4 linked regions of the Diceros bicornis minor genome follow. The main gene of each other region encodes a partner of the protein of the gene in region 4 in a complex. Links are inferred from orthologs where the notes say so. Each region holds a gene or a part of one and is shown on either strand. Other genes may lie near its edges. The genes, in order: RBM15, METTL3, CBLL1 and VIRMA.

Evidence for each region.
Region 1: VIRMA (region 4) and RBM15 share a complex: the UniProt entries of both Homo sapiens proteins name them as parts of the WMM complex. The link is inferred for Diceros bicornis minor from reciprocal best matches to the Homo sapiens genes VIRMA and RBM15.
Region 2: VIRMA (region 4) and METTL3 share a complex: the UniProt entries of both Homo sapiens proteins name them as parts of the WMM complex. The link is inferred for Diceros bicornis minor from reciprocal best matches to the Homo sapiens genes VIRMA and METTL3.
Region 3: VIRMA (region 4) and CBLL1 share a complex: the UniProt entries of both Homo sapiens proteins name them as parts of the WMM complex. The link is inferred for Diceros bicornis minor from reciprocal best matches to the Homo sapiens genes VIRMA and CBLL1.

What each region holds. Positions count from the first base shown.
Region 1 is NC_080743.1:43,362,884-43,370,188, reverse strand, and holds the start of RBM15 (RNA-binding protein 15), read right to left. Parts: upstream 3,005-7,305; 5' UTR 2,424-3,004; coding exon 1-2,423. UniProt on the Homo sapiens protein: RNA-binding protein that acts as a key regulator of N6-methyladenosine (m6A) methylation of RNAs, thereby regulating different processes, such as hematopoietic cell homeostasis, alternative splicing of mRNAs and X chromosome inactivation mediated by Xist RNA.
Region 2 is NC_080744.1:27,854,458-27,862,037, reverse strand, and holds the start of METTL3 (N6-adenosine-methyltransferase catalytic subunit), read right to left. Parts: upstream 3,020-7,580; 5' UTR 2,888-3,019; coding exon 2,788-2,887; intron 1-2,787. UniProt on the Homo sapiens protein: The METTL3-METTL14 heterodimer forms a N6-methyltransferase complex that methylates adenosine residues at the N(6) position of some RNAs and regulates various processes such as the circadian clock, differentiation of embryonic and hematopoietic stem cells, cortical neurogenesis, response to DNA damage, differentiation of T-cells and primary miRNA processing.
Region 3 is NC_080742.1:10,751,803-10,759,655, forward strand, and holds the start of CBLL1 (E3 ubiquitin-protein ligase Hakai), read right to left. Parts: upstream 3,011-7,853; 5' UTR 3,002-3,010; coding exon 2,701-3,001; intron 1-2,700. UniProt on the Homo sapiens protein: E3 ubiquitin-protein ligase that mediates ubiquitination of several tyrosine-phosphorylated Src substrates, including CDH1, CTTN and DOK1. Targets CDH1 for endocytosis and degradation.
Region 4 is NC_080760.1:13,777,980-13,785,046, forward strand, and holds the start of VIRMA (protein virilizer homolog), read right to left. Parts: upstream 3,021-7,067; 5' UTR 2,990-3,020; coding exon 2,927-2,989; intron 1-2,926. UniProt on the Homo sapiens protein: Associated component of the WMM complex, a complex that mediates N6-methyladenosine (m6A) methylation of RNAs, a modification that plays a role in the efficiency of mRNA splicing and RNA processing.

The sequences.
Region 1 (7,305 bases), on a different chromosome or scaffold from region 4:
TGTAACAAATGCATGTTGGAAGGAAAGTTGCTGTTCTTCAATAGAAGCATGCCCTGCCAGGCCAAACAGAGTTTGGGAGAGGCTGCTGCTGCAGGGGCTGTCCCGCCATCCTGTTTCTGGGAAGGAGACTTCAGCTTCGATGAAGCAGTGCTGGTGCTTGCTGCACTCCCATCAGACCGGTCTTCTTTTTTCAGAGGGCTTTTTCCTTCAGTGGGAGCAGTCGTCCGGTGCTTCCTATCCCGTTCAGCTGATGCTGAGTTTTTACGGTCTCGCTTGTCACCTTGGCTTTTCTCCAAACTACCTCGTCTGTCTCTGATTGGAGAGGCCCTTTCCAAGAGAAGACGGGAAGATCGATCATTGTCACTGTTGTAGCGATCCCGGCTACTGCTCAATTCTGGACTGCGGTCAGGAGAAGGAGCACAGTGACGTTTTCGTGGACGGTCGCTCTCAGGGGACCTATCCAGATGCCGCCCCCCACTCTCCTCAGGCAGCCTTCGCTTCCTAGGCTGGTCTCTGCTGCTGGGTAGATCTCGCTCACCTCTGTCCCGGTCCAAGGACCAGCCATCCCGCCTGCGATCCAGGCTGTCCAGTGGCTCATAAGCAGGCACAGCAGTGGCTGCAGTCCGAGTGCTGCGTTCACGGACTGGGGGTGGGGGTGGCACCCAATCAGAATCAGGATAAAGGTCTCTATCACGATCTCTGTATAGTAAGGGTGGTGTCCTATCCCGAGCACCCCTCAAAGGGTCAGGTGCCCGATGTCCAAAAGCATCTGTTACCAGTTCATAATGAGTTAACGGCAGAGGCTGCAGATACTGCTGCTGGTAACGATGTTCTGTGTCTGCAAAGTCTACTCTAAGGCGGCGATCTGGGCCACCGAGTGGGAAGCCCCGCATATGGGTCCAGGCAGCATGAGCTGCATCCAGGCTTTCATATTGGATATATGCCCAACTATCACCTTTGCGGTAGTCTATGGTGCGGATGGTGCCAAATCGGTCAAACTCTCGTGCCAGGGCAGCAAGAGGCACCCAAGGTCCCAGGCCACCCACCCAGAGGCGGGTGGTGGGTGTAGCTTTACCATAACCAATTTTGATAGGATTCCGAATTATAATTTTGCCAGACATTGCTAGTTTGGCCCGATGAGACATGTCTAGGTTCTCAAATTTGAGAAAGCCATAGGTACTGGTCTGGCCCCGAGAAGGCCTTTTGATGTCTACTTCTGTGATGACTCCAAAGCGGTCAAAAGCCCTTCTTAGATCACTCTCTGTCACAGTGATGTCTAGGTTGCCCAAGAAAAGCGTCCGGTTAGCTCGCTGATCATCCTCGGGTGAGATCTCATCCACTTCTCTGAAAGGAGCAGCACCTGCTCCAGCTCCCACCCTCGGCTCAAGACTGTATGCAGGACGCACTCTCTCATAGAACGGGTAGTCTCGCTCCCGCTCTAGCTCTCGGGGCAATGGTGGCGGAGGTGGAGGGGGCAGGCGGCCAAGAGCCAACTGCTGCAACCGGTAGTCTCTGTATCCCAAGGCTGCGCCACCAGGTGAAAGTGATCTCTGGCCTCCACCACCTCCTCCAGGGGGGTGCCGGTGACCACCTACAGAGGCCCCGACCACGCTGGCTGACGGAGGATAAGCATCTTTGTCTAAAGGGGAGCGGCTGCGGCGCCGGCTCACATACACCGCTTCTATCTTCAGGGGCCGGTCATAGAGCACCAGGCGGCCTCTGGCATGCTTGGCCGCCCGCGCGTCCTCTGGCCGCCGGAAGTTCACAAAGGCTACTCGCTCATCCCCGCTGCTAGAACCCGAGAGATGACTGATTTTGACACTTACATCACCGAAGCGTTTGAACTCGTGAAACAGTCCGTCCTCCACTGCTTCGTCACTCAGCTGGGACCCCAACTCGCTTATCTTCAGCGTCTTGTATTCCCCGCCGTCCCCGCCGCCGGGAGCTGAGGAGGCGGCCCCAGAGGAACGTGACTCCCCGCCTCCACCCCGGGAGCTGCTGCGCGACTCGCCCCCGCCCGAGGAATTTTTGGTGCTTGGGGAGCTGTAACTGTGCAAGCGGCTACTGGAGCTGCCCCCACCAGTGTCATACTCGCGGCTGCCCCCTCGGCTGCTGGACTTGTCCAGATGAAGGCTGCGCCGCGACCCACCGCCGCTGTCGGTCTTTCCGCTGCTGCTCCCATTGCTGCCACCAGAGCCCCCTAACTTCTTGCTCCGCTCCCCGCGGGAAGTCGAGTCCTCGCCACCACGCGAGCGTTTGGGCTTGACTGGGGAGCGCTCCTTCCCCTTCATTGTTGCGGGCCGTCGGAGGTCGTCTCCGCGGAGCAGATGAACCCGCCGCCCCGCGCTCGTTTCACACAGCGGAACCGCACGCCGCCATCTTGGACTCCGCCGCGGCAAAGGCTCCCGCCCCGTCGTCCTCATTGGTCAATTAGCACTTCTCCTCTACAGTCTCATTGGGAAAACTGTTTGTCTGTCTTCACATCTCCCCGCGCTCGGGGAAGGCGCCCGCCCGTCCACTGTTATTGGGTTCCCAACGCCCTAGTCAGAGTACCTCATTGGTCCTACTCGTTGTCCATCTTAACGGTTCCTCGCGCCAGGCTGTAGCTCCGCCCCTTGCACTCTATGGTCACTTGACCCAAAGTCTGGAGGCGTTGATTGGACAAAAAGTCTGCCCTGTAACGGTACTTCTTGCGCGGTGAAAGCAGTGATCCCACTTCCTCATCCCTTTCATTGGTTTGTGACCCCGTCTTTTAACTGACTATTTGGGAAGTCCGGCCATCTGTTCTGGCGTTTTTTTCTGAAAGGCCGGCTTACAATGATCTCGCGAGAGAGAGAGCGCTCCCTCTTTCGACCCCCTTCTTCCAACTCCTCCGGCGGCTGACAGAAGTTTAAATCTGATTGGATATCGATGAGGACGTTGATAGGCTGAAATAACTGTCTATCACTAGCTTAAAGGGGTAGGTCCATATACTGAGGAGGCTGAAGGTGAAAGGGTAGAACACGCGCTTGCTGTGTGACGTCACTTAGACGTCGCGAGACGGTGATCACGAGTCTGTTCCGCCTGCTCGGGCTGTCGGCGTTCTCTTCTCAAACATTTGTTCGGTCCCGCGGCGTACTTGGCTGTGCTTCGGCCGTCGGAGTTCGAAACTGGGCTCCCCACTTCCTACCTGTGCAGGACAAGGGGCTGGCTGGGCAGGGCCTCCGGCTGTCGGGGCCCGGGAATCCCTCAGGCAGCCGTCCCAGGGCATCCGGCACACACCGTGTTAGTCCACCTCGCCCCAGTGTGAACAGCCTGAAAAAGCCCCACCCGCTCCTGCGCGCGAGGGCGCCGCCTGCGGTCCCTGGGGCGACGGGCAGGCCTGGCCGCGAGTTCACAGTTCACACCAACGCCCCGGGGCGGCGCAGAGGCTGGGCGCGGGCTCGGGGTCCCGCGGGTAGGAAGCCACGCAGCGCTCGCTCCGGAGCCCAGGTCTCTGGCGCTCCCGGTTCCCGCCCAAGTACCCCGGGTAACCGAGGGGAGTGACCGACTTTCCCAGGTTCTCCCAGCCCGCGAGAGTGGCCGGGACGGGCGGGCCACCGCGGAAGTGTCTGGACTTCCTGATCTATGTTGCGAATTCAAGTGGATTTTGGATTTTGTCGTCCCATAGTATACCTGTGTGTTTATTTATACGTAATGCCGCTCCCAGTTAAATGATCGAGTGACATTTACGCTCCATGCATTTTTTTTTCTGTGGCTTCTTGTCCTTGCCGGCACCTCCGGTTATATTCTGTATTAGAAGCCAGTGGCACAGCCGCCTTGCTGTCTCTCTAAATCCACTTCTTTTGGCTCCCTCAATCATTCTCGCTTCAAAAACCCAACTTTCGTTCTTTCCAGAGACCTTTCTTGTGTCAGACAATAAAGCACCTGTGCGAGGTGCTGGTGATACCGAGATTAGAAGAGGTACGTACCGTCTGGTGCAGGAAGGTAGTGCCCAGTTCATCACAGCAGTTAGGATAAGGCTTTCTGCAGTCCTCCCAGGTGTCCTCCTGGCAGAGGTTGTGAGGATTGGGCAGAGATTATGAGGGTTCTTGTGTTGATCCTCTCCTCAACCACCTCTCGAGGTCTGATATGTAGTAGAGAATGTGAGATGTTTTTATTTTGTTTTTTGTTTTTTGTGTGTGTGAGGAAGATCAGCCCTGAGCTAGTATCTGTCGCCCATCCTCCTCTTTTTGCTGAGGAAGATTGGCCCTGGGCTAACATCCATTCCATCTTCCTCCAGTCTGTATGGGACATGCCACAGCATGGCTTGACAAGTGGTGTGTCACTGAGCGCCCAGGATCCGAACCCCAGGCCGCTGAATTGGAGTGTGCGCACTTAGCCTCTATGCCACCAGGCCAGCACAGTGAGATGTTTTTAAAACATGACATTTTTCAAGATAACTATAGTGTCCGGAAAGCTGAAACCTAAGCTTGAAAACTATTTTAAGATTAGAGACTGCAACCTCTTTAGCCCTGCCTTAGCCATCCTTCTCTTTCTAAATAATCTTGAGGAAGGTGAAGATGTGGGCCTTTTATCTATTGATTATATCAAAAAAGCTTGAAAGAAGCCCAATATGTAAAAGCATAAAAGTCCACAGTGTTGTAGTGTGTACACATTCTCGTTGTATTAAAACTAGCTATTAAAATAAAACTTCATAAAGCATAGAACAATGTATAATATGCTACCATTTGTGGTTTTTACAAATGATATATATGTGTATATACATATATTTTCTATATATATTAGTAGAAACTTCATGGAGAATACTTGGGAAGTTGTTACTAAGATCAGGCTAGGCGGGTTGAGGGTCTGGTTGGGAAACTCAACTTTTCATTGTATGCCATATTTATGCATTATTAAAAGAAAACTTGTTTTACCATGTGCATGCTATGACTGTTTCATTTTTTAAAAATAGAAATTATTTTTAGCTTTCCTTAAAAACTTTGTGTGTGTGTGTGTGTGTAAGGAAGATTAGCCCTGAGCTAACATCTGTTGCCAATCCTCTTCTTTTTTTGCTGAGGAAGATTGGCCTTGGGCTACCGTCCATGCCCATCTTCCTCTATTTTATGTGGGACACCTGCCACAGCATGGCTTGATAAGTGGTGTGTAGGTCCAAACCTGGGATTCGAATCTGCAAACCCCAGCCACTGAAGCTGAGTGCGTGTACTTAACCACTATGCCACCAGGCCGACCCCCTTAAAAACTATTTTTTATGGAAAAAGTAAAAAATATACAAAATTAGGGCTGGCCCGGTGGCTTAGCGGTTAAGTGTGCCCACTCCGCTACTGGCGGCCCGGGTTCAGATCCCGGGCGTGCACTGACGCACTGCTTCTCTGGCCATGCTGAGGCCGCGTCCCACATGCAGCAACTAGAAGGATGTGCAACTATGACATACAACTATCTACTGGGGCTTTGGGGGGAAAAAAAAGGAGGAGAATTGGCAATAGATGTTAGCTCAGAGCCGGTCTTCCTCAGCAAAAAGAGGAGGATTAGCATGGATGTTAGCTCAGGGCTGATCTTCCTCACACACACGCACAAATATATATATATATATATACACACACACAAAAGTAGAATACTATAAAGAGCTCCCATGTATCCAACACCCAATTTCAACAATTATCAACTTATGTCAGTCTTTTCTCATCTACACTCTCTTCCTGCTCTTCCTCCTCTTCATTATTTTGTTCCAGGCTTATCTGGTACATTTCTTGGGCCAGACACAGAATCAGTCATTTCTCCGAAGAGCTCTGGTTCCTTTCAGTGGGAAATGATATTTAAAGATAAAAATCTGGATGCTAGGGGATAGAAAAAACCAACAACCACCAATACATTGTTTGTAAGAGCACAAAACACTCAAAGAAAAAGCTTTACATAGTTAGGAGGGTTTAATCTATTTCAGGGTTATATTAATACAACACAAAATTAAAGCTAAGCTATTATCTTAATGTAATAGCCAATCCAAATAAACCAGACTCCAGAGTGACTAATTTTGGCCTAAATTGGCCTGCTTAGGTGACTCACTGATCAAATAAAAAGATAATGACCAAACCAGTATAGTTTCCAAACCTCATGATAAGGATTAAGGGAGCACAAGAGTTGAGGGAAAGAATTCAGGAAGCTGGTACCAGTATGTGTGGCAGAGCCTGAGGCTCTGCTAGGCTTAGTGGCATACTGTTTGAAATACCAGGGAGCTTGATGGAAGCTACTGCCCATAGCTGGCTACAGCCTAAGGGGACTGATAGCATGTCTGGTGTCAAGAGGACTGGTAATATAATGGGTAGACAGAAAAAGCCTGGATTCCATTATCAGTAATGGAGCCAAAATATAGCCTGTGATGTGTATGTGAGTGTGTGCACGACAGAACTGAATAATGACAATATGTCGATCCATGCTGTAGTCAAAATAAAGGATTTATTTTGTTTTTATTTCTTTGTGTTCTTTAAAGTATGAAGCTGCTTAGTGAGGTTGTATCAGCCTGTTTTCACCCATGTGCTTTAGAGAGGGCTGAGAGAGGATAAAAGTGACCCATGGTTTAGAGGACCAGGACCTGGAACCCTTTTGCAGGTGTTGGTGATGGAGTTGTTGAAGTCTGGTCCAAGCTTTCATCTGATCTCCTTGTGATCTGTGGCCAGATTTGTGAGATCAGCTGACTTGGGTGAGGAGGATCTTTCGGTGGTCATGGAAACAGAGTTAACCTACCAACAGATTCCCTGAGCAGCATAGCAGCATGCTGATCTCTTCTTTTAGTGCCTTGTCAAAAACCAAGCAATAGCATTGAGGAAAAGCTACCATAGCCCATTCTGGCATCAATGTTGACACCCTGGAGCTGTATAACTCAAAGGCCCTAGAGGACACAGCCCAACAGGAGAGCAGCCACAACCAGCTTTCTATATGAAGTCATCTTCTTTAAAATCAGCTTTAGATTTAAAAGGGAAAAGCAAAATAAAAGTTGTGCACATGGAAGAAAACTGAGCAATTAAAAGATATCAGTATGTTTTCAATCAAATGTCTTTTTTCCACTCTCTTCCTTCCTCAGTTTTATTGTTTGTGTATCCTCAATACACACACAGACAATTATGATTGCAATATGAAATTTATCTTAGGAGTTGAGAGCCATTTGATTTCCTGGCAAATGCAAAAAGGCCTGAAGCAGGGAATTGAAATTTTTTTCCCCACCCACAATAGTGGATTAAAATTTTCTGTTTCATCTCCCTTCATAAAGTGAGTGGTCTCCTGACAGTGAGATTTGTTTTGTCTGCAGAAAAAGTGTGTATTTTACCC
Region 2 (7,580 bases), on a different chromosome or scaffold from region 4:
GAGGAATAATTATAAACTTGTTAAGGAATTAAAAAAACCCACAAACTACAGATAAAAGATGTCATTTGTCACAAAAATGACAGAAAAAGCTGAACACAAAGTAGTCAATGATGTAGTACACTGATATAGTGGTTTTTAAAAAATTAACTCTGTAGATCACTTTGTTAAAGCAAACAACTACTTGAATCCTCAGGTCCCCTTTTCCAATTGCCATTGCTGAAGGGAAAACAAATTACTCCATACTCAAATTAAATAAATATTCCTAGAAGAAATGCACTTACCCAAGGCTTTACATCTTTCTACACTGCAAGAGGCCGAGGGTACTAAAATGCAGTGACAGCCTATCCATGTGGAGAATATGGGGAGGTGACAGAACAAGGCTACATTACCTCCTACTAAAATAACGTACATTGAAAACTGAATAACCTACAGTGTCCAAATGTAGTAAATTGGTGAGTTTCTAGTTATAAATGAATGGAACCATTAGCCCCTCTTCTTTTCTGCTGATTGAGCAACTCATCCGGATAGCCCACATCCCACTGTTGTTTACCTGATGACCACCTGGAGGACCTCTACAACACAGTCCACAGAACAGATGTCTCTGACTTCTCTCAAATATTATCCAAGTAAAATCTGATTTCCTACAATGTATTTATTCAATGCAAATCAGCTCATATGCAATTAATAAATAAGGGAATGTCAGAATAACATGGAAAACTTGCTGGTTCATACATGATTTTTTCTCATCATGTTAATGTTCTGAAGTGGTCAGGGGCAAATTTTCTCACAGTTAAAGAAAAAACTTCAAAAACACATGAATACCTTAAGGAAAAAAGGTGAGAATCCTACAGAAATGCCTTTTAAAAAATAGAAGTGTCTGGTTTAGTGGCTTCAAGAAGTGCTACACTTTGCACTATGTTAACCTATCTGGGAAGCTACAAGTTCAGATGAATAAACTGCAAAGGCATTTCCCTTGGTTAAACAAAAACAAGACTGCTGGATGGAAGCAGGAAGTAGGAGCCCCAGGGTATATAGGCTGTGGGGATGGAATGACTTTCATTATAGGTAGAAACACCAGTGGAGATTTAACTATGCTAGCATTTTTAGTAGAATATTGTAAGGGCTCTAGTAACAAAGTTACAGAGGTTTTGAACAGGCTTCTTCTAAAGCTATTTCTTCTATAAGCCCTGCTATTTTTAATGCAGGCTTTTGCAGAAGCAATTTTTCAGGAACACACATATATAGGGAGAAATGACTCAATCATTTCTTCCAGAATGCTGTATTTGAAAAAGTTGATGAGGTACTTAAGCCCAGTAACAGAAGTCTGTGATAAATCAAGAAGCAACTGGGTCATTTGTCTATGACAGAGACGTAACTGTGTTATATTTTCTGTCTAAAACTGATTTGCATAAAATAAAAGTCTTAGAAACAGAGGAAACCAAAGAATAAGAAAAAACCAGAAAATTGAATCTACAACAAGACATCAAAGGAACTGAAGTTTATATTATCAAGAAAAAAATTCTCCCTCTTGGGTAATTCAGTAACTACTCCAATGCTTGACTGCTAATTAATCCCTGATCATACGACTTGCACTTCTTCCTCTACTCACCCTGCCCTCTTAACTTCTCTGTAATTATCTAAGTCCTATACAGCCCTGAAGACCAAATTCCAAGTGCCAACTCCTCCCCGATGCCTTCACTGACTAAACCAACTCTTGCTACCTCTCCCTTCACTGAACTCATTGTGGACTCATTCATTTGGCATTTTACATATATCATATTGTATTTCTAACTTTTTTTAAGTATTAATCCTTTATCCTCAACTAAATTTCAAACTCCTCGAGGGCAGGGACAATATCTTACTTATTTTTGTCTAACTGGAACTCATGCACACTGTAGATACTCAATAGATGTTTATTTATTATGGTGTCAGAGTCCTGCCAGGGCATCTTCTAGTTCCAGGGGCCACAATATGAGCACACGGGCCTCATATGTATTAACACAAGATTTAGAGATGGACTCGAGTATACTACTAAACATTGGAACAAGCTACCACAAGGGTGGTTTGGATTCACTATCCTTGCAGATCTTTATAGTTGATTTGCCTTAAATAATTCAGGGCTTGTACTGGCGACAGGGGGTGGGCAGGAGTTGACAATCTTTTGAGGTTCCTTCAAGTTTTGACTGTGACATAGCGGGCAACGGGAGGGGAGAAAAAGTTTAAAAGCAAAAAACAAATATTTTCAGATTCCTGCTCGGTATGTAAATACCTAAAGACAATGCCAGTTCCTCTACTCATTTAGCAACACCGAGGGCCACTGACCTGGGCGCTGTGGATATAAAGGTTCAGTCCTTGCTCTCACGGTGTCCATAGTCGCAAAGAAATGACCAGTACAAAGTAGTAGCTATAACCGAGGGAAGAACAAAGCGCCATGGGAGCAACAAAAAGGGGACCTGCTGCTTCGAGGGGTAGGTAGCTGAGAGGTCTTAGTAAAGGCGACGATCTGGTAGACTTAGGAGTCAGTAAGGAGGACGGGGGTGGGGCCGGGGCGCCCGTCCCGGGAAAGAGAACTGGGCGTACCACGTCCCGAGGTGGGAAGGAACCGCGACTACTTGCCGGAGGGCGCGGCGTCTGTGCTGCTGAGGGGGAGGAGAAGAGCACCAACGCACGGGGTGTTACAGAAAAGGCCGCTTGGGGAACGGCACCGACTCAGGAGCTGTCTTTTTCTCCAGGGTTCCCTCCCGCCCTCCCCGGGTAAGCATCGGCCCCGACAGCCCCGCGCCTCACCCAAGTGCCCCGAGTCCTGCTTCCGCCTCCGCTGCAGCCTCTCTCGCAGCGAATCCAGCTGCTTTTTGTGGGCCTGGATAGAGCTCCACGTGTCCGACATCCTAGTCTCCAGACCCAGACACGTCTCGAATCAAGCGCGGCGAACTAGCACCTCCCAGTCCCAGCTCCAGGAAATACCCAATTCTCACGCGGACACCCAAGGCTAACCGGAAAGAAATCCCGGGAGATGCGCTAGATGGAAAGGTCATTTCCGGCTTCGCACTCTCTTTGAAGCTCAAAAGAGAGCCGCCTTAGGTGTTGGCAGAATGGCGGATGTATTTTTTATTGGAACTCTCGCGTGCTTCCGGGTGCGGTGAGGCTGTGGTTGCCATGTTGGTGCCTGGCAGAGCGGCCATGTTGCTTGTAGACGCGCATGCGGCCATGTTATAAATACAAGAGGGGAGTCCTGTGAGTTGAGCTGGGTTGTGAACGTACACGTAGAGCAGCACGTGTCGTACAGATTTTTGAAACGAAGGATCACTCATTCCTTTTGACAGTTTGATACTAATATACTTTTTCCACTGAAGATGTTGTAGGTTTATGTTTCCATGCATTCATTTACAAAGATATAGCTATTACATTGGTTTCCAGTCTATGGGTGTGTGCGTTTGTATCTGTGCTTCTTTGAGAGAGAACGAGGAATGATGGAGCAGAGATATTATAAGGGGTCTACAACTACATATTCTCACTCTTCTTACTTACACCAAATCTACAAGTATGATATGTAATACATTAAAATAAAGTCCTCATAAGGAGGCACTAGAGGGGTTTCTGAGGTTGTGGTTCCATTGCGTTTCTTACTCTGGGAGCTGGATGCATGAGTATGTTGTTTATGAAAATTAATTGAGCCAAACATTTTGGTATGTGCACTTCTCTGTATGTGTAATAAACTTTTAAATACAAAAGTTTTTCGTTTTTTATTTTTTTAAATGGGGTTCTCTGAATGGAAGTATTTGGGAACCATTGATTTATCAAATGGCTACATGATGCCAAACACTGTGTCAGAAAGAATAGCTTGAAAAGGCATGGCTCTGGTTTTCAGAGCATTTCTCTTCTGGTAAAGAAACTAAGACCCAGCTTATTAATATCAAACCATCTTTACAGCATAAGGCAGCGTGAGCATAGGCTTTAACAAATAAATGTCACTGCAAAGAGGAGGAGGACTCCAAGCCAAGATGACCACGGAAGGCATTGGAAAGAAGGTGGCATCAAGGTTCAGGCTTGAAGTGACAGCTATAGCTTCACTGAAGCTATAGGAGAGAATTCCAGGCCAATGACATGATAAAAGCAAAGGTCTATGCTAGAGTTAGGAAAGCAAGTTGTATGTCCTGCTAATCCAGGTTAGTTTGCTAGAACATAGAGAATTATATTTGGGAATTTGGGAGGATATTTATGTTTCCATATTTGAGGCCAGATTGCAAAAGGTACATGTTACCTGAGTAAAGAGCTTGCAACTTATTCAGAGTACAACAGGGGAAATGGGCTGGCCCTGTGGTTCAGCGGTTAAGTGCGTGCACTCCGCTGCTGGCGGCTTGGATTTGGATTCCGGGCGCACACTGACGCCCCGCTTCTGTGGCCATGCTGAGGCTGAGTCCCACATACAGCAACTAGAAGGATGTGCAGCTATGACATATAACTATCTACTAGGGCTTTGGGGGAAAAAAATAAATAAAATTATAAAAAAAAAAAAGAATACAACAGGGAATAATTTAAGGTTTGTGAATAGGGAGTGTTTTAAGATTAATCTACTGTTCTAGTTGGTTTGAGATGGGGAGGAAGGAGAGTTAGAGATAGGGAAAATGGTTGGTAACCTATTGTAACTGTTTGATGATAGGACCTTTAATTAACTCAGAAGCTAGTTATGGATAATAATGGGAAGGAAGGGGTGAATATGAAGGGAGGCTATTGAGAGGAAAGATGTATGTATGTGTATTGGAAGTGGCAGTTTCATCCATTCAGCAAATATTTATTGAGTGACTACTATGTGCTAGGTACTGTGGAGATTTAGTAGTAATAAAAATATTCATTTCCATCTCATTTTCTGAATTTAATTTACTTACTAGGTAATTCACACTATCTTTTGAGATGTGTAACTTTGTATATGAGCCTTGAAGAAAAGGATATGGAAATGAATATGGGCTCACATGAACATCTCTAGACATTTAAGTCTCAGGACTACATGTAATTAGAAGCAAAAATGGTATCTTCCTCAGCTGAAATACTCTTGGGATAGTTGGCTAATGTGAGATCATGGAAGACTACTCAAGGGGACTGCTCTACCTGAGGGTTTTTGCCTCCTTTAATAACCTCGGTTTAGCAACTGCCCTCAAGAAAGTTGAGAAGGATGCTTTTGTTCTCTCATTTGGGATGTATCCTGTGTGGCCCTATGTTTAGATACATGTATGATTAATGGAGTAAGATAATCCCATTATTGCTATATTATAGCACTATTAGAGTTAATTGTTGACAAATCTGAATCCCTCATTTGTTATAAGATCACTATATCTTTCAAGGTCCTTAACACATAGAAATGAAATTTATAGAAATTATATAGCAGTAAAATTAAATAGTCTTGGGGGAGAAAGAGAGTACTGGATATAGCCTTGCAGAAAATGAAGGGGGTTGATTTATCGTAAAGACAGAATTCTGCAGGTCAACCCCCCAATAATATAAGCATTTTTGTCTAGGAAAGGAAGGCTTTTCTAGTGGAAAAGATTCAGTCTCTGGTAGAATTTGGGATACCTAAGGCCTGGATTGCCTCCTCTCACCTACAAAGGAAGCCCAAGAAGTAACATGGGTGCTCCTGAAAGTCAATCAAATCAAGGGCAGCTCCCAGAAGTCTTTGCTTTCACATTCACTTTGGGTAAATTATTACAACTTAGTAAATTAGGCAAACTTTAGGAGCACAGGAGGGCCACTTAGCATGATCTGCTTATAGAGGGATTCTTTCCAGATTCCTCATGACCAGTTTTCTGCTCAAAAGAAAGCCACTGCTGGGGGCTGGCTAGGTGGCGTAGCAGTTAAGTTCATGCATTCCCCTTCGGCAGCCCAGGTTCACCGGTTTGGATCCTGGCCGCAGACCTACTCACCACTCGTCAAGCCATGCTGAGGCGGTGTCCCACATAGAGGAAACAGAAGGACCTACAAGTAGGATATACAACTATGTGCTGGGATTTTGGGGAGAAAAAGAGGAAGATTGGCAACAGATGTTAGCTCAGGGCTAATCATCCTCAAAAAAAAAAAAAAAAAGCAAGCCACTGCTTTCTTATGTCCCCACTCTTAGTCAGTCTGCATACAACCCTGAGCAGTGCAGAGAGGAAAAAGGAACCTCACCCAGACCTCTTCTAGTCCAGAAAGAGTGTAAATCTCATTGTGAGCAGATGATGCTGCATGCATTGCATTTCTTAACTTTTCCTCATATCTGCTGTGGTAGACTGTTTCCAGAGTTAGCCACAAGTCCTCCCACCCCACGTGCCCTATGCAGTCTGACTTTGTCACTCTTCCCTTTAAGAGGTAAAGCTGATTTCCCCTCCTCTTGAATCTGAGCTGGCCTTCTGACTAGCTTTGGCCAACAGAATGTGGCAGAAATGATATTCTTTGGGTTTCAGAGCCTAGGCCTTAACAGGCCTTGTAGCTTCTGCTTTTGTCTTCTTGGAGACCTGAGCCTTCATGGAAGTCCAGTTATCCTGATAGATAGACCACTTAAAAAGAGAGAGAGAGGAAGAGAGATATCCTAGAGATTGAAAGACTTCGAAAGGAAAGAGGCCCTGGAGAATGAAAGACTATAAGGAGAGAGGCTCCAATATTCCAGCCATTCAGCTGAGCGGCCAGAAGTGAGTAAAGCCGTCTTGGATCCTCCAGCCCAAATCGAAACTGCCTGAGTGAGCTCAGCCCTCATCACGTGGAACATTGACAAGCCATCCTAGCTCAGGCCTGCCTAACAAACCATGGAATCACAAGCAAAGACATAATTATTAAGACACTAAGTTTTGGGATGGTTTGTTACACAGCAATGGATTGCTGAAACATCCACAATACTGACCAAAACTTTTTATTTGGTTCTTTGGCCAAATGTTTTTTTCCCTTAAGTTTTTCTCCTTACTGTTTCTTATTATATGATCAAAAGCAAAATGTCCATTGGGTTAGTCAATCAGTTATTAAACAATAGAAAACACAAAGAAATGTAAAGGGAAGTCAAAGTTGGGTCTAATTGAGAGCAACACTAATGAAGTCTATCTTGGGGATCAGGAGACAGGGGTTCTTTGGTTTACTAAGAAGTTGCAGGGACAGTAACCAAAGCCCCAGAAGCAGGAGTTTGTGAGAGATGAAAATGTGCCAATAATATCTAGGCCTTTTTCAGGGGTGACACAGGTTGAAATCTCTAAGGAGCAGGTGCTGAAACGGAATTAGGAGTCCAAAAGTTTTATTGGGGAGTAACAATTGTAAAAGGTAAAGGGGGAGAAAATGGGATTGGGCAGGGAGAGCTGTCAGACTATGATGCAGATCTGACAAAGTTTCTGCCAGCCCAATGGGGAGTTCCAGAGCAAAAATTGCTCATTAGAGTCCCATGTTCCAAGGGAATGACTAAGCCCCTGTACCACCCACCGCTTTGCTCAGTCTTTGGCCAGGGGCTGCAGAACAGCAGAAGAGCTGGAGGCCGTCAGCTATCCAGGTTTCTTTCAGCTCGATAACCAGTTCTTTCCTGAAGTGACATCTCTGAAGCAGCACATCTCTGTACCTGCCAAAGAGGACTT
Region 3 (7,853 bases), on a different chromosome or scaffold from region 4:
GGGTTATGTAAATTTCCCTAAGGGTCTCTCTTAATTCTTTGATATTAAAATCATTCTTTTAAGATGCCTATCCTGTCATAATGTTTTCAATTAACTGGCTAACTGGCATTTCCTCACTTGCCAATGATTTTATTTGTGATTTAAATAGTTATCAAATTCACGTTTATGAATGTCATGAAAACTTTATTCTTTTGTAAGGTTTGTAATCACAATCAATGTACAGCATTGATACTGTTTCCTGATATGAAACATGAAAGACACTGACTTATAATGAAATTAACTAATGAATAGAAAAGACACTAATGTTAAGGAGCAGGGATATCTGACCAGGAACTAATTTTTTAAGTGATCAGCTCATTAGTGAATATTTTCACGTTAGGATGACTTATTTTCTTAGGCAACCTTTTAACTTAAAGAAGCAGGATACTAAATATTCAGATACACACCCACCCATATTACAATTTCCTAACATAACATCCTCTAAACTGTGGAAGGGGCTTGACTCCCAATTCCAGTAATAGGCTCAAATGAGAAATATTTTGCTAACATTGAATGTTTGCTACTCTAACATCAAGATTGCAGAAGTTCAATTCTATAAAATTTCCAAACACCAAAGTTCCTCAGAGCCTGGTTCTTTCTAGGCCCTCTTCTCTTCTGTATTCCCTTTCCTTAAGTGATCTCATCATCCATTCTCATGCCTTAAAATATTACCTATGTGGTACTAAGTCCCAGATCTTTCCTTTGATTGCCACTTGACATCTCCCCTTGTATGTCTCAATATACATCTCATACTTAGCAGTCCAAAATCTTGTTTCCCAATTCCCACCTCTACACCTTAAAAAAAAAGAAAAGCCTCTTTTTCTCCCCAAGTTTTCCCCAACTTAGTAAAGGGCACTAACCTAGCTGCTCAAAAAGAGATGCCAGAAATCCAGGCGTCTCTCCTTTCTTTAACATACTTCTGAACAAATCCATCAGCAAGTGTTTTGAGTTCTACACCAAAATGTTTATTGAATCTGCCAGTCCCCTTTTCACTAAACCAAGCTACCTTCACTAAGTCAAGACTCCCTTCTGGTCTACTGCATCCACCTCCTAAACTGTCTATTTTCTATTATTCTTTCCTCCCTCTCTTATACCATTCTCCATAGAACAACCTATTATATTTTTAAGAGAGATTATGTTCCTCCTCTACTTCTGTTCAAAGGCTTCATATGGCACTTAACATAAAATTCAAAACTTTACCACGGCCTTCAAAGTCTTACACAACCTGACTCCTGCCTTCCTTTCCAATCTCATCCCAGGGCTCTTTCCCTCATGCTAATTAAAGCTGCAGCCAACTGGTCTACTTCAGACTCTTCTTTTCCTACTTCAGAGTCTTTGTACAGTCTGCCCTTCATATTTGAGAATTCCACACCCCCAGATTCAACCAACTGTGGATCCTGTAGGTGCTTATGTTTATGACCCGCGGTTGGCTGAATCTGCGGAAGCAGAATCCCGGGAAACAAGGGAGGACTAAGGGTGTTGAGTGTGCGCGGATTTTGGTATCGGTTGAGGGGTCCTGGAACCAATCCGCCCGTGGAGAAAACTAGGAACGACTGTACTTGGCTGGAAATGCTTTCCTCCTGATTTATTCCATGGCTAGGTTCTTCTCATCCATCAGATCTCAGCTATAAATGTTACCTTTCCAGAGAGACCTTCCCTGACTATCCTCTCTTAACCTTCCTCCAATTAGTCTTTACCACAGCACCCGTTTATTTTCTTCAAAGCACTCATCACAACCTGTAAACATTTAGGTTTTTTAAAACCTGTCTATCGGGCTGGCCCGGTGGCTTAGCAGTTAAGTGCTCCCGGTCCGCTGCTGGTGGCCTGTGTTCGGATCCCGGGTGCACACCAACGCACCACTTCTCTGGCCATGCTGAGGCCCCGTCCCACATACAGCAACTGGAAGGATGTGCAGCTATGACATACAACTATCTACTGGGGCTTTGGGGGAAAAAAATAAATAAATAAAAATTTTAAAACCTGTCTATTGTGTCTTCCCCAATAAAATGTAATTTTCATGGGGACAAGGACTCAGTCCGTCTTATTTACCATTCCATCATTCCATTTCCAGGTCTGCAGATATTCAGCACATGCTATAAGTTACATGTTGACTAGCACTCATTACATATACATAATTATACAATTAAGTAGATATATGAACTAAGGATATCTTAACCAATACTTAATACAAGAAAAAGCCTTTTTTCCCTACTTGTGATATAGCTCGTATAACTGTACAGAGCACTTTCTAACTGCAAGCGCACTCACTCAACATCCAAAAACCACAAGAAAGCAAAAGCTAAAAAACACATAACAAAGAGTGGAGCCATTCTTACTTGGAGAAAAGAATATCTTAATTTTAAGCTCTCCTTTGTAAATGTCCCCAAATGATGCGTAAGGACCACAGCCGAAGCGCGGGGCATGCTTTGCGCTTAGGCAGAAAAGCTGCTCCGAGTATGATTCCGAAAACCATATTCGACCCCATTCTCCCACCTCTAGTCCATAAAGGACCGGACAGACAATAAAGACCGGCGGTGAGCAGCGCAGCACCCGCCCAAAGCCGACTAAGGCAGCAGGAAGTCTCCAACCCACTCTCGCGCATCGACTCCCACCGTAAGGAGGCTTCCCCCATTCCGAAACTGGAAATCTACCCGCCAGTACCCATACGTAGGGCAGAGCGCCCGGGAGGAAGAAGAGAAGAGCCAGCTCTCTCCTCCCCACGGGCCCGCGCCGCCCGCCGTCCCAGCTCGGAGCTCAGCAGAACCAGAGAAGAAGAGGCTGTTGCCGGCACGGAGGCTGTGGGTATCACGCCGGAGAGTAGGCCGGGAAGTAGCAGGCCCTTGCCGGGCGCGGGCAAAGCTCTGTGCGATTTCTTTCTCACCGCCACACCCCAGTGCTGTAGGGCGAGGGTAACCCCTCTATGCCTGCTGGGCGACCAGTCCCAGGCTGGCCAAGGGGGCATGGAACCGAGACCCCCACTGCCTCCGCCTCCTTACCAGTGTGATCCATGATTCGGCTCGCAGGGCACAGTGGGAGCGGAAATCAACTGCGCCGGAGTCGCAGCCAGCGCGTGCGCGCTACCTTTCGGAGCCCGCCAGGCGGAAGTGTGACCAGGTTGCCCGGGCTTTAGCCTGCCAGGGCCTCCTTCTCTGGCGTCCGCTACACAACTGCGGTGAGGGAGTCAGGCATAGTTCGGGCAGAAGAAGAAAGAGCGAGTACGCGAAGAGCTTTGATGTCGAGGTTACTAAGGTTTCTTTTCACGTGCTTCGAGAGAAAGAAGCCTTTTAACTGTGGAGAGAGACCCTCGGGAACGGGGGAGAGGGAGAGCAGTAGTAGCCGGAGGAATAAGCTTGCGACAGGTAAGGCGGCCGCCCGCCCCCATGGAGCGTTGCCTTCTGGGACTTGTAGTGCGCCGGGGCCCTGGAGCCGGCCGCGCCTACTGCGCAGGCTCGGCCGTTGGGCTGGCCTCACCCGGGCGGGCGGAGTAACGGTTTGGAATCCCCCAGAGTGGGCAGGCGCTGTCTCCTCCCCCGCGGTCTAGGAAAAGTGTAAACACGCGCGCTCCGAAAGGCGTCCTCCAGTGGGAGGTTGCCCAGGGGATGCTGATCTGCGTGGAGCTCCCAGCCAGAAAGAAAGGCTCGACTTTGCTTTGTCGTGACGAGCTACACAGACCCACGCAGAGCAGACTTGGTATCTGCCCCCGTTCCCAGCGCTTAAGTTTCTAACAGTTGAAACATGTTTATAATGCTTAAGTAGCACTCCTTTTCTAGAGAAAACGCCTGTGCTAGGGACCCCCAGCACACCTCTCCCGAGGACTGGACGCGGGGCTGGCGGGAGGGCGCGAGCGGCGCAGCCGTCTTGCTAGGGCCCCGCGGGCGGTGGAGTGCAGAGCGGAGAGAAGGAGCGGGTAGACGCGGAGCGGCGCACGCAGAGCTGAGGGCTGCCGGAAGGGAGAGGCTGAAAAGGAAAGGCCCGAAATGAGGAAGAGAGAGTTACCGCAACAGGCAGTACCTAGTTCCAGTTCTTGGTCCCAGGGGTTTGTGGTTGCCGCTGCTTTCATCGTCCTCAGCCAAAACAAAAGAAAAGTGCCAAAGGGTGATTCCTGGGGACCTTCAGTGCCGCCTCCAGCGCGTGAACTCGGCGCATTTGCGTCCACTGCCTTCTCCAACCTTTTACACTTGATGCTCTCGGATGAGAAGAAAGGAGCACAATTAGTGGAAAACACAAGCTTGGGAGTCAAGGGATTTGGGTTCTATTCTTGTCGTCCCTTGGTGACGACATCATTACCTTGGGTTATTCACACTTTCAGTGCCAGTGTTATTAGATCGACAAGAAGTGATTGTATTGACCTCCTATAGAAACGTTTTCACGGTACTGAATTCCGAATAAAGTGTGTGCAACGATGTGCTACATCTGTATGGTTGTATAGTAACAGCTTTGAGTAATAGGATCAGTACTATAAGTGTTCTGTGTTATTTGGTGAATATGTTACTGGAGTGTTTTAAAAGACTTTCCCACTCTGCCGCTTTGTAAACAAGTTTTTAGGTACGTTCACAATTAAAGACAATTGTGAATCAAAGTTAACCCTACTGTTGTCAAAATGTAAATTTCTGTGTTACTAAGTGGTTTTCAAGATGCTTTCAATTGCTGGGCTTATTTTTTGGTTTGGAGGTTGGGGGAAACTTAACCTTTCTCCCATACTTTCCTGTTTCTCTAAAGACAGTGTTGATATGATTGGGTATTTTTTCACCAATTTGGGTTGTAAAAGAAAGAAGGAAGTGCTCTTTTTATTTTTTCTATTCTCATATTTAGCCTGTCAGCCATACTTCAGATTGATGCAAATCCAGGTTCAGAATAATATTGTTAGTGTCTGCTGATTCTAATATGTAAAGAATTAGAATAAAAAAGAGCCTTCAGACTGTATTTTACATAATTTAATCTGTAAGTCAGAAGTTTTGTCAGCATTTTATGGTGCATCAAGTTCTGAAAATTTACTGAGGGAAAACTCACTTATTTTAGATTTCCTGTTGATAAAATGTTCGATAAACATTTGCTGATTTCATTTGACACCTGTTGCTTTCATGCATTGCTCTAGCCTCTGTGCTCTATATCCATTTCCCCTTAACTGTAGTTGCCTCACTTTACCAGTGCAGTGGCAGCAGTGTGACAAATTAATCCCTTTGCCTAAATTGATAAGTGACACTGTACATAGACTTATATTTTATTACTGCACTCTGGTATCCATTGTTGGTGACCCGTGTGCTGTACTCAGTCACACTTTCTTTTCTGAAAGTGGACTTTCATATTTATTTTATAACATGGTACTGTCTTGAGGTTTATAAAAATGAACTGTCGTTGTGACGGATGATCTGAAGCCCTGAGGTGCATAGTTTCATCTTACTGACAGACCATCTGATAGCCTATGAATTATAAGCTGATGTTCTTGAAGGTGTCTTAATAGCTTTCCATTTGTATAGCACTGTTTACATTATGAGAAAAATAGGCTTTGTGTCAGAGGCCTTGTTTCCCCAAGAGTTTGTTTGAGACTCCTTAGGACCAGATCAGGACAATAACCTTCATCTCCTTAATGCTCTTTCAGTTGTATCACACGGTACTCACTGATACTGCAGAAGGCAAGAACTGGGTAAATAAAGATCCCTACCTGAAGGATCATACAGGCTAGCATTTATAGAAATAATTTAAAACAAATATGATTAAATTCGAAGTGTTTTGAGGGAATACAGTGCTACCTCCATTCAGAGACAATAATGAGCAGTAGGACTTAGTAGTTAGGTAGGCTTTACGGAGGGGTTGAGCTGAACCTTGATGAACAGATAGGATTTGGAGAGGTGGAGAGCAGTGAAAGAGGCATATCAAACAGGAAAGAGCAAGGGTGCAGAGGTGAGAACTGTTATAGCTTCTATTGAGGACAGTGATCAGCTTGACTTGTACTGTTGATCCATGTTTGGGAGTATTGAAAAATAAAGTATGATTGTAGAGAACCTTGAAAAGTAAGATTTCAGAGTAACAGTTAAGAAGGCGCATATAAACAAAACCTAGCATGGTGTATTCATGTAAACAACGTAATTCAGCAAGAGATATTCAAAACCAATGAGCAAAACTTAAATTGGGGGGGCGGGAGGGGGGAGTGGCTCAATACTGCTAATGTAAGAGAAGAACAATTGACCAGGAAGCCAGAGACCTCTGTGATGGCTGAAACGCCGGCAGGTATGCATGAACTGTTACTTAGAGAAGAACTGATCAGGAATGTGTCCACTATACATTAAGTTTGAGAAGTAGAAAAGGATGGGAAAGGCAGTGGAAATGTAGTGGTTAGATGTATGGCCTTGGAAGTTAAAGACTGTGGGTTCCAAGCCCAGCACTGTCATTTACCAGAGACTTTAGGCATATTACCTAATCTCTGTGGCTGGCTCACTTCATTTGTAAAATGGGGATAATAGTACCTACCTTTAGGGTGGTTGAGAGAACTAAATGTTGTTATCTATGAAAAGCATTTGGCACCCTCTGGCACACAGTAAGCTGGTAAATGGTGTTACTATATTCATTGCTTCTTAAGGTGATAATGAAAATTAAATGAGATAACATAGCAGCTGGCACATTATTAAATGACTATTAAATGTTTGCTGCAATTTCATTATTATTACCTATAGAAATGGTTTGGAGATAGGTTTTGAAGATAGGGTCACTAGGGCTGCTTTGGACTTATTAGCCTGCTGATGCAGACTCAAAGCAAGGCTCTTTGACTTCTCTATGTTGGAGTCAATTGAGTGATCTGCCCTCGAGCTGGGTTAGCAAGCTTAACTCCAGCCCCACGTAGTCCCAGCTTCCTCCTCTCTCTACCAGCTCTTGAAACTGAGCCCTAGCGTATTACCATAGCCAAGCCTTATCAAGTATGGCAGCCGGCTTTCCAAACACTATCAAAAACTGGGCAAGAGACAGATTCACGGAATAAGGAGGAAGTAAAGACTACAAGGACTGAACACTGCAGGTTGAAGACATTTCCCTACTCATCCTTTGAGGCCTGGCAATATACGTACTCATTTGGATAGGAGTCCTTTGATCTAGAGAGGGCCTGCAGCCTTCCTTCTCTTCTGAGAATGACATTTTGCAGTGTGTATCCTTTGAGGTGGATACCTCTTGCCCCTCCCTGCAGCTCCTCTGCTAGAGAAAATTGCCTTGTTTCTTCTCCTTACGTTTCTATTCAGCTCACACCTGAAAGAATGCTTAGGGTAGTAAACTGCTGTAAGCAAGCAGTCTGTGATACTGTTTCCTAGACTTGAGAAAGCTTTAGTCCAAGGGCTTCCTGACCCTATCCCCAGCTGCCACTCCATGCCAGTTGGAAGGGATTTTCAGGTTTCCCTGGTATACTTGGTTTGTAAATAGGCCCTGTTACTGTTTAAATAAATGTCTCTCACTATCAGAAATATATTTTACATCATAGCCAAGTACATTAACACAAATGCATATACATACATATAAGTATCATGAAACTATACTTAGCCTTACTGTATGCAGTGCTCTCTGCTATTTCTAGTCTGTCCCTTTAAAAACAATGCTGGTTATGATTCACTAAAATGTCAAAGTACACTAATGGCTTGGAATTTAAGTTTGAAAATCTCTATTTTATATCTCCCATGGTGTTTTGAAAAGCTTATACTATTCTAGAAATGTCTGAGCAAAAGGATAAATCTTAGCACTGGGAGGACTTAATCCTTGTGTGGCTGTGCAAAGAGATGATAAGGAAGAAGATAGATATCCAAGACCAAAGAATGCCAGGAAACTCAAGAATAAGT
Region 4 (7,067 bases):
ATATATATATACACACACATATATATATATTTATATATATTTGGGAGGATTTGGGAAAAAATTAAGGAAAGCTGTCAATGATAGCTGGGACTAAGAAAGGTGGGACTATGAAAGCCTTTGCTTTTCTGTATTTTCTAATTTTTCTATAAAGAAATTGAAATTTACTAAAATAACATAGTTATTTTTTTATTTTTAAAAAAGAGGCATACAAACCACAATCACAATTTGTAATTCATTTAGCACCACTCAAACCCTTTCAGTATTCTCCTTGTGAAAACTGAATAAATGTCTGTCTTCCCCATCGGTTTACAAATTCCTTTGAAAGCAAGGGCAATGGGTTTTGTTTTTTCTGTTTTATTTGTATTCCCCCTCCTAAATGTATACCTCACCATATGTGGTATTTTCCAACCGCGGCTGGTTGGTTGAATCCGTGGATGCAGAACCCGTGGATACTGAGGGCCAACTACAGGGACTTGAGCATCCAGGAATTTTGGTATCCTCAGGGAGTCCTGGAACCAATCCCCCAGTTACGGAAGGCTGACTGCACTCTTTCTCCCTCACACCATCAGTTGCTATCCTGTCAATTCTATATCCAAAATTTATCTTGTACCTATCCCTTCCTACTTAGTCCCACTGGACACAGCATGGCACAAATTTAGAGCCAGAAAATGTGTGTTGGTGTGTCTTAATCCAGCTATGCCACTTTAGGAAAGTCACCTAACCTATCATGCTCAGTCTCCTTACCTATAAAATGAGAACAACTATCTTTCAAAACTGATGGAAGGATTAGAGATAATGTATTTAAATTACCAAAGCACTGTGTCTTGCACAAAATAAGCATTCAATAAATGCTAACAATGATTACTGCCCATTCGTTAACTCAAGCTTTCATTACATCTCATCTTCTTGATTTGTTACCTCTAATTTTTCTGAACCATTTTAGGTATTACTGATAAATTAATCTAACTAATGTATTTTACTAATCATATAATTTGCCTGCTGAAAAACCTACTCATGTCCTGTAAGATAAAGTCCATATTCCTTTGCTGAGCATTCAAGGAACTCCATGATCTGGCTTCAAACTGCCCTTCAGGTGCCACTTCACACTGCTGCTTTCGGCATAGCCTACAGAGGACTGACTACTCCAGCAGAATGCCCTCCTTTCCTATCTATGACTGAGGAACAAACCCTATTCCAGCCAAGACCAAGTTCATATGCCAATTGCCTTGATGAAGTCTTCCCTGATACTCTGAAATGAAGAGTGATCTCTCCCTCCTCTGAAATCACATAGCCTTTACTTTTACCACCAAAGGGAGCTAAATAAATATTAACTGAGGTCCCAATATGTCAGACACTGATGGGCATTTGGGAAATAAAGGTGACAAACCCCAAGGAATTCTCATTCTGTCTCTTTACATACTCATCACATTCTAACTTGAATTATAATTTTGTGGACCTAATCTCCAATACTTAGTTATAAACTCCATGAGAACAAATATCTTAATATTCCATATTCCCCACAAACCCCTACTCCTCTTTCAAGACTCAATTTAAACGTGATCTCTACTAAGCCTTCCCCAATCACTGCCAGAAGAAGGTATTTACTACTAGTTCTATCCTCTGGACATCCTCAATGTATGTCTAAGAATGAATGAAGAAATACTAAATTCTTAAAGATATGATAAGTGAATGAATGCCAATTTTTCTAAACTAGAATACTACTAACCTAACTCATCATATCCTTTTTTCTTTCATTTTTAACTTTTCTCTATTTCTGTACACATGATAGATTTGTTCTTATCCAACTACTGTCTCCATTGTGAGTTTTCTAAAGCCTAGCTGGAATTACGGTCAGAAAAGTATGGTCATTGAACAAACAGAGCTAATTGACCCACATGAAATGAGAGACCACAAATGAATTCACTATTAGTAAGATAAGCTAACGTTTCCAAACTTTCGATTTTTACAGACCTATAAACCATTCGTTAAAATAATTATAAGACCAAGGTTGTCAACTTTTGATTTTGCCAAGTAAAGCATTAAGATACAACCACAACTCACTACCATCACTATCTCGGAAGAAAAAATAGTTCTCCAAATTGATTAAGTCTACATATCGGAACAGAAATGTGAATTCTGGGGGTTTTTAAATTTCTCTGTGGACTTCGTTAATGTTCATTTCTGGCCGGCTTTCGGGAACCTTTAATTAACTATCTATATTCAACTGACATACAGCAAAGTCAGTCATACGTTCAGAGGCGCTCCCAACACCTCACCCTCGCTCCTCAAAAAGACAATACAACTGTGCTTTGCAGTCTGACTACAATCCTCTCAATCCGCCCCTCTTCCCAACAAGTATTCTCCACGCAAAGGACTTCCGTGTAAGCATTTCATGTTCTAACGTGTACAATCTTGCCAAAAGTATTAAAGTTTCAGGACAAACTGGAGAACGCCGCGATCCCAAACCGAATGAGTGTCACATCTGTGCAACAGAAGTCCCGTTAGAAAAGGGACCTAGGAGAAGGGACTTAGGACCAGGAAGCCGTCGTGACCTGCTCGGCCACTTGCACTACTGTCAAACACAAGCTGTCCAAGACCCCTCCCAAACACCACCTGAGGTCAACCTGAGAACCATGATCCATTTCAAGGCCCAAAGCTGACAGGAACAAACAAACAAAAAAGAGCAAAGCAAGCAGAGCAGCCGAGTCAACCAAAGACGCGGGGGCCTAAGATCCCGCAGGGCAGTGAGGAGGCCGCCGCTGCGCTCCCTCAGCCCCACTGCCCACACCCAAGCTGGGGGAGGGGGTGTGTATGGGAGGAATTAAAGCGGCAATCGACAGGAGGAAAAGCCGAGGCACGCCTAACGATGTTTTGTAAGGGTCTCCAAGTCGAGAGGCACGGTCAGAATCAAGCCCCCAAGCCTTACCTCAGCGCTCGGGTGTTTAAAAGTATCTAAAAATAGCAGCTCCATCGCCGAGTCCACCGCCATGTTTGCCGCGGGCGGGAGCAGGGGGAGGACTTCCGGGGCAGCCCTCCAACCTCGGCGACAGCGGCTCAGGAGAGGCAGAGACCGCCGTACTTCCGGTTGCCAGAGCGCTAGCGCCGCAAGCCTCAGCCTATCCTGACGCGAAGTGCTGCCCGGTGTCGCCGGCCCCGCCTTCTCCAGCGCGGCGGAGGGCGCCCTCAGAGCGCCGAGAGAGGCCAAGAGAGGAAAGCAGGGGACTACGGAGTCTCCAGTGGTCCAAACCTCGTCGTTCTACCGCGTTATAGAGCCGCGATGGGCTCCCGGTGGCAGAGTGCAGAGCTGGCTTTGGGGAGGGTGGAGGAGGGATGGAGAGCGCTGCCAACTCTGGATACCCAGCCTAGTGAACCCGCCAGCAAGCAGCCTTTCTAGGGCTGGCAGGAAAAAGGTGCAATGAGCGAGACTGTAAAGTACGAATTTTTTTAAAAAAGAAGAAAAAAAGAAACTGTTGTCTCAAAACCAAGAGATTTTTTGTTTTCTCCTGCAAAATGCGACTTGTGCATCATAATACCTAACCCACAGGCTTATTGTGAGGATGTATTGAAATAAAATTCGAGAAATTGTATGACGTGAAATACCATGAACAATAAAAATGTAGAGGGAAAAGTCAGTCTCCTTTTCTCCCTGTTGATGAGCATTGGAGCAACTTGAACAGTTTGGTAGTCTTAATTGGCGCAGGTGCTTGGGAGAGCAGTTAGGAATTATCTAGTAAAATTATACGTGCCTGCTCCCCTTCTGGGAAAATTCTTGTACATGTGCTCAAAGAAATACCTACAGCTACAATAATGTTCATGGCAACATTAATGGTTGCAAAAAAGCTGTAAACTTGATTGTCATTAACAACAAGTAATAAGTAAACTGTGGTATGTTTATGCAATGTCATAGTATACAGCAGGTAGAAATAATGAACTAGTGCTGTATCTACTAACATGTTAAGCAAAGGGTTAAGCAAACAGGTTGAAGAATATGTAGTATAAAATGGCATTTATATAAATGTAAAATAATATAACTTTTTAAGGGCATATATGTTATAAAATTATAAAGAAATGCCTTGGAGTGATAAACCCTAAAATTTCAAGATAGTGGTGAACTGGAGGGAGATGTGACCAAGAAGTGTACAGGGGCTTCAAGTGCTTTGATAAGATTTTATTCTTTAGGTTCGTGGTGGTTTCACAGGTGTGCTTTACGTTATTGTTTGTACGTTTCAGTATGTCTGAAATATTTAATAATAAATTAATTTTTAAATTTTTAAAGTAACTGTCCCATCTACCCCCTTCCTCAGCCATCCTGTTTCCTCTATTAGCTAAATTTGTCTATTTTTTGATTCTTCAGTTTCTGCTTTTGAATTTACTAATTCCTTCTTTCTGCTTTCTTTAGTCTACATGTACATAGCTGTTCTTTTTCAAATTTCTATAGTGATGCTTAAGTTATTTATATTCATATTTCTTATTTAGTACTATATATATTTGTGTCTACTAACATTTCCCTAAGTTCTGCTTTAACTGTAACTAATACACAATGTAGTGCTTTTATTATTGGTGTTTTTTACATAGTCTGATTTTCTTAGCTTTGATTTTCTTTTTGACCTAAGAGTAGTGTGAAGTAGCTTTTTTCCTTTAATAATAAACTATTTTTAGAGCAGTTTTAGTTTTTTGGGAAATTGAGCAGCTAGTACGGAGAGTTTCCATATAGCCCCTTTTCCCACTGTTCAAGGATTCTCCTATTATGAATATCTTGCATTAACATGGTACATTTGTTACAATTGATGAACCAGTGGTGATACATTGTTATTAACTAAAGCCTTAGTTTACATTAGGTTTCACTCTTTCTGTTGTATGTATATACTATATGTATATTTGAATTTATAGACTATCTCTGAAAGAATTATGCAAGAAACTGGTAATAGTTGTTGCCTCCAGGGAGGGGAACTAGATGGCTAAAGGTACAGAAATAAAGAGAATCTATTTCCATGTACATATATTACTGTACGTATTAAAAAATAAAATTTTAAATGATGAATAAGAATTGAGTAGAGAAAAAAAGAATTTAGGAGTAAAGAAAACTTTTATAGACTCTTTCAAGAACTTTTGTTGCATAGAACAAAGAAATGAAGTGGTTGTTAAATGGGGGGACGTGGAGTCAAGAAAGAGTGTCTTTAAGATGGGTGATAACAGAGCATGTAGACTGATGGGAATGAAGCAATGGAGAGAGAAACATTGATGATGAAGAGAGCGAGGGAATCTGAAACAGCAAAGTATTGAGTAGGTGGGAGGGGTGGTACCTGGTGGCCAAATATAAAGTGACCTTTGCTAGAAAGAATACCTGCTCCTTGGTAACCAGGGGCAAGGAGGTCCATGGGTAAACATGCCAATGGGAGTAATGATTTAGTAATGGGGAAATGAGGAAATTCCTTTTTGACAGTTTCTATTGTCTCAATGAGATCATCAGCTATGATTGAGAAGGCAGAAAGACATGTAGGGGACCAAAGAAGAGAGAAGGTATTAACCAGACTTCTGGGAGAGCCTCAAATCCCTGACTGGCTATCTATCACCTTAGTATGTAGGGCTTGAAATTCACTTCTCCTTGCTCACTCTTTCGCCTTGTCCCTATCACACCACTTAGGTGATTCAGCCATTCCCAGCTAGATATGGCTCCCTCCCTCAAGAGGTATTTCACATCACTGTGCCCTTGCTTACATGGTTTCTCTGTTTTGAGTATGACCCCCTAGGTATGGCTTTCAAAAACCTACATACAGGGGGCCGGCCCGGTGGTGCAAGCGGTTAAGTGCGCCCGCTCCGCTGCGGCGGCCCGGGGTTCGCTGGTTCGGATCCTGGGCGCGCACCGACGCACTGCTTGGCAAGCCATGCTGTGGCGGCGTCCCATATAAAGTGGAGGAAGATGGGCACAGATGTTAGCCCAGGGCCGTCTTCCTCAGCAAAAAAAAAGAGGAGGATTGGCGGATGTTAGCACAGGGCTGATCTCCTCACACACACACAAAAAAACCTACATACAGTTACAATAGCATCCAAAAGAATAAAATGCCTTAGGAATAAATTTAACCATGGAGGTGAAAGACTTATACACTGAAAAACAAATTGTTGCTGAAAAAATTAAAGAAGACTTAAATAAATGGGAAAACATTCCACGTTCATGGACTGGAAGACTTAATATTGTTAAGATGACAATATTACCCAAATAAATCTACAAATTCAATGCAATCCCTATCAAAATTCTAACAGCCCCTCCTTTTTTTTTTTCCAGAAATGGAAAATCTGATCCTCAAATTCATATGGAATTGCAAAGGGCCCTAAATAGCCAAAACTATCTTGAAAAAAAAATTTAGAGGATACACACTTCCTTTTTTCAAAACTTACTACAAAACTACAGTAATCAAAACTGTGGTAATGGCATAAGGACAAACATATAGACAAATGCAATAGAATTAAGAGTCCAGGGCCGGCCCCGTGGCTTAGCGGTTGGGTGCGCACACTCCGCTGCTGGCGGCCCAGGTTCGGATCCCGGGCGCGCACCAACGCACGGCTTCTCCGGCCATGCTGAGGCTGTGTCCCACATACAGCAACTAGAAGGATGTGCAGCTATGACATACAACTATCTACTGGGGCTTGGGGGGAAAATAATAAATAAATAAATAAAATTAAAAAGAGTCCAGAATAAACCTTTACATATATGGTGAACTGATTTTCAACAAGGGTGCCCAGGCCATTCAATGGGGAAGGAATAATCTCTTCAATAAATGGCACTGGATATCTACATGCAAAAGAATGAAGTTGGACCCTTACCTCATACAATATATAAAAATGAACTCAAAATTGATCGAGGACCTAAATGTAAGAGCTAAAACCATAAAACTCTTAGAAGAAAACATGGGTAAATCTTCATTACCTGGGATTTGGATTCTTAGCTATGACACAAAAAACATGAGCAATAAAATACAAATAAAATTGGACTTCAAAATTAAAAACTTTTATGCATCAAATGACACTATCAAGAGAGTGAAAAGACAATCTACAGAATGAGAAAAAAT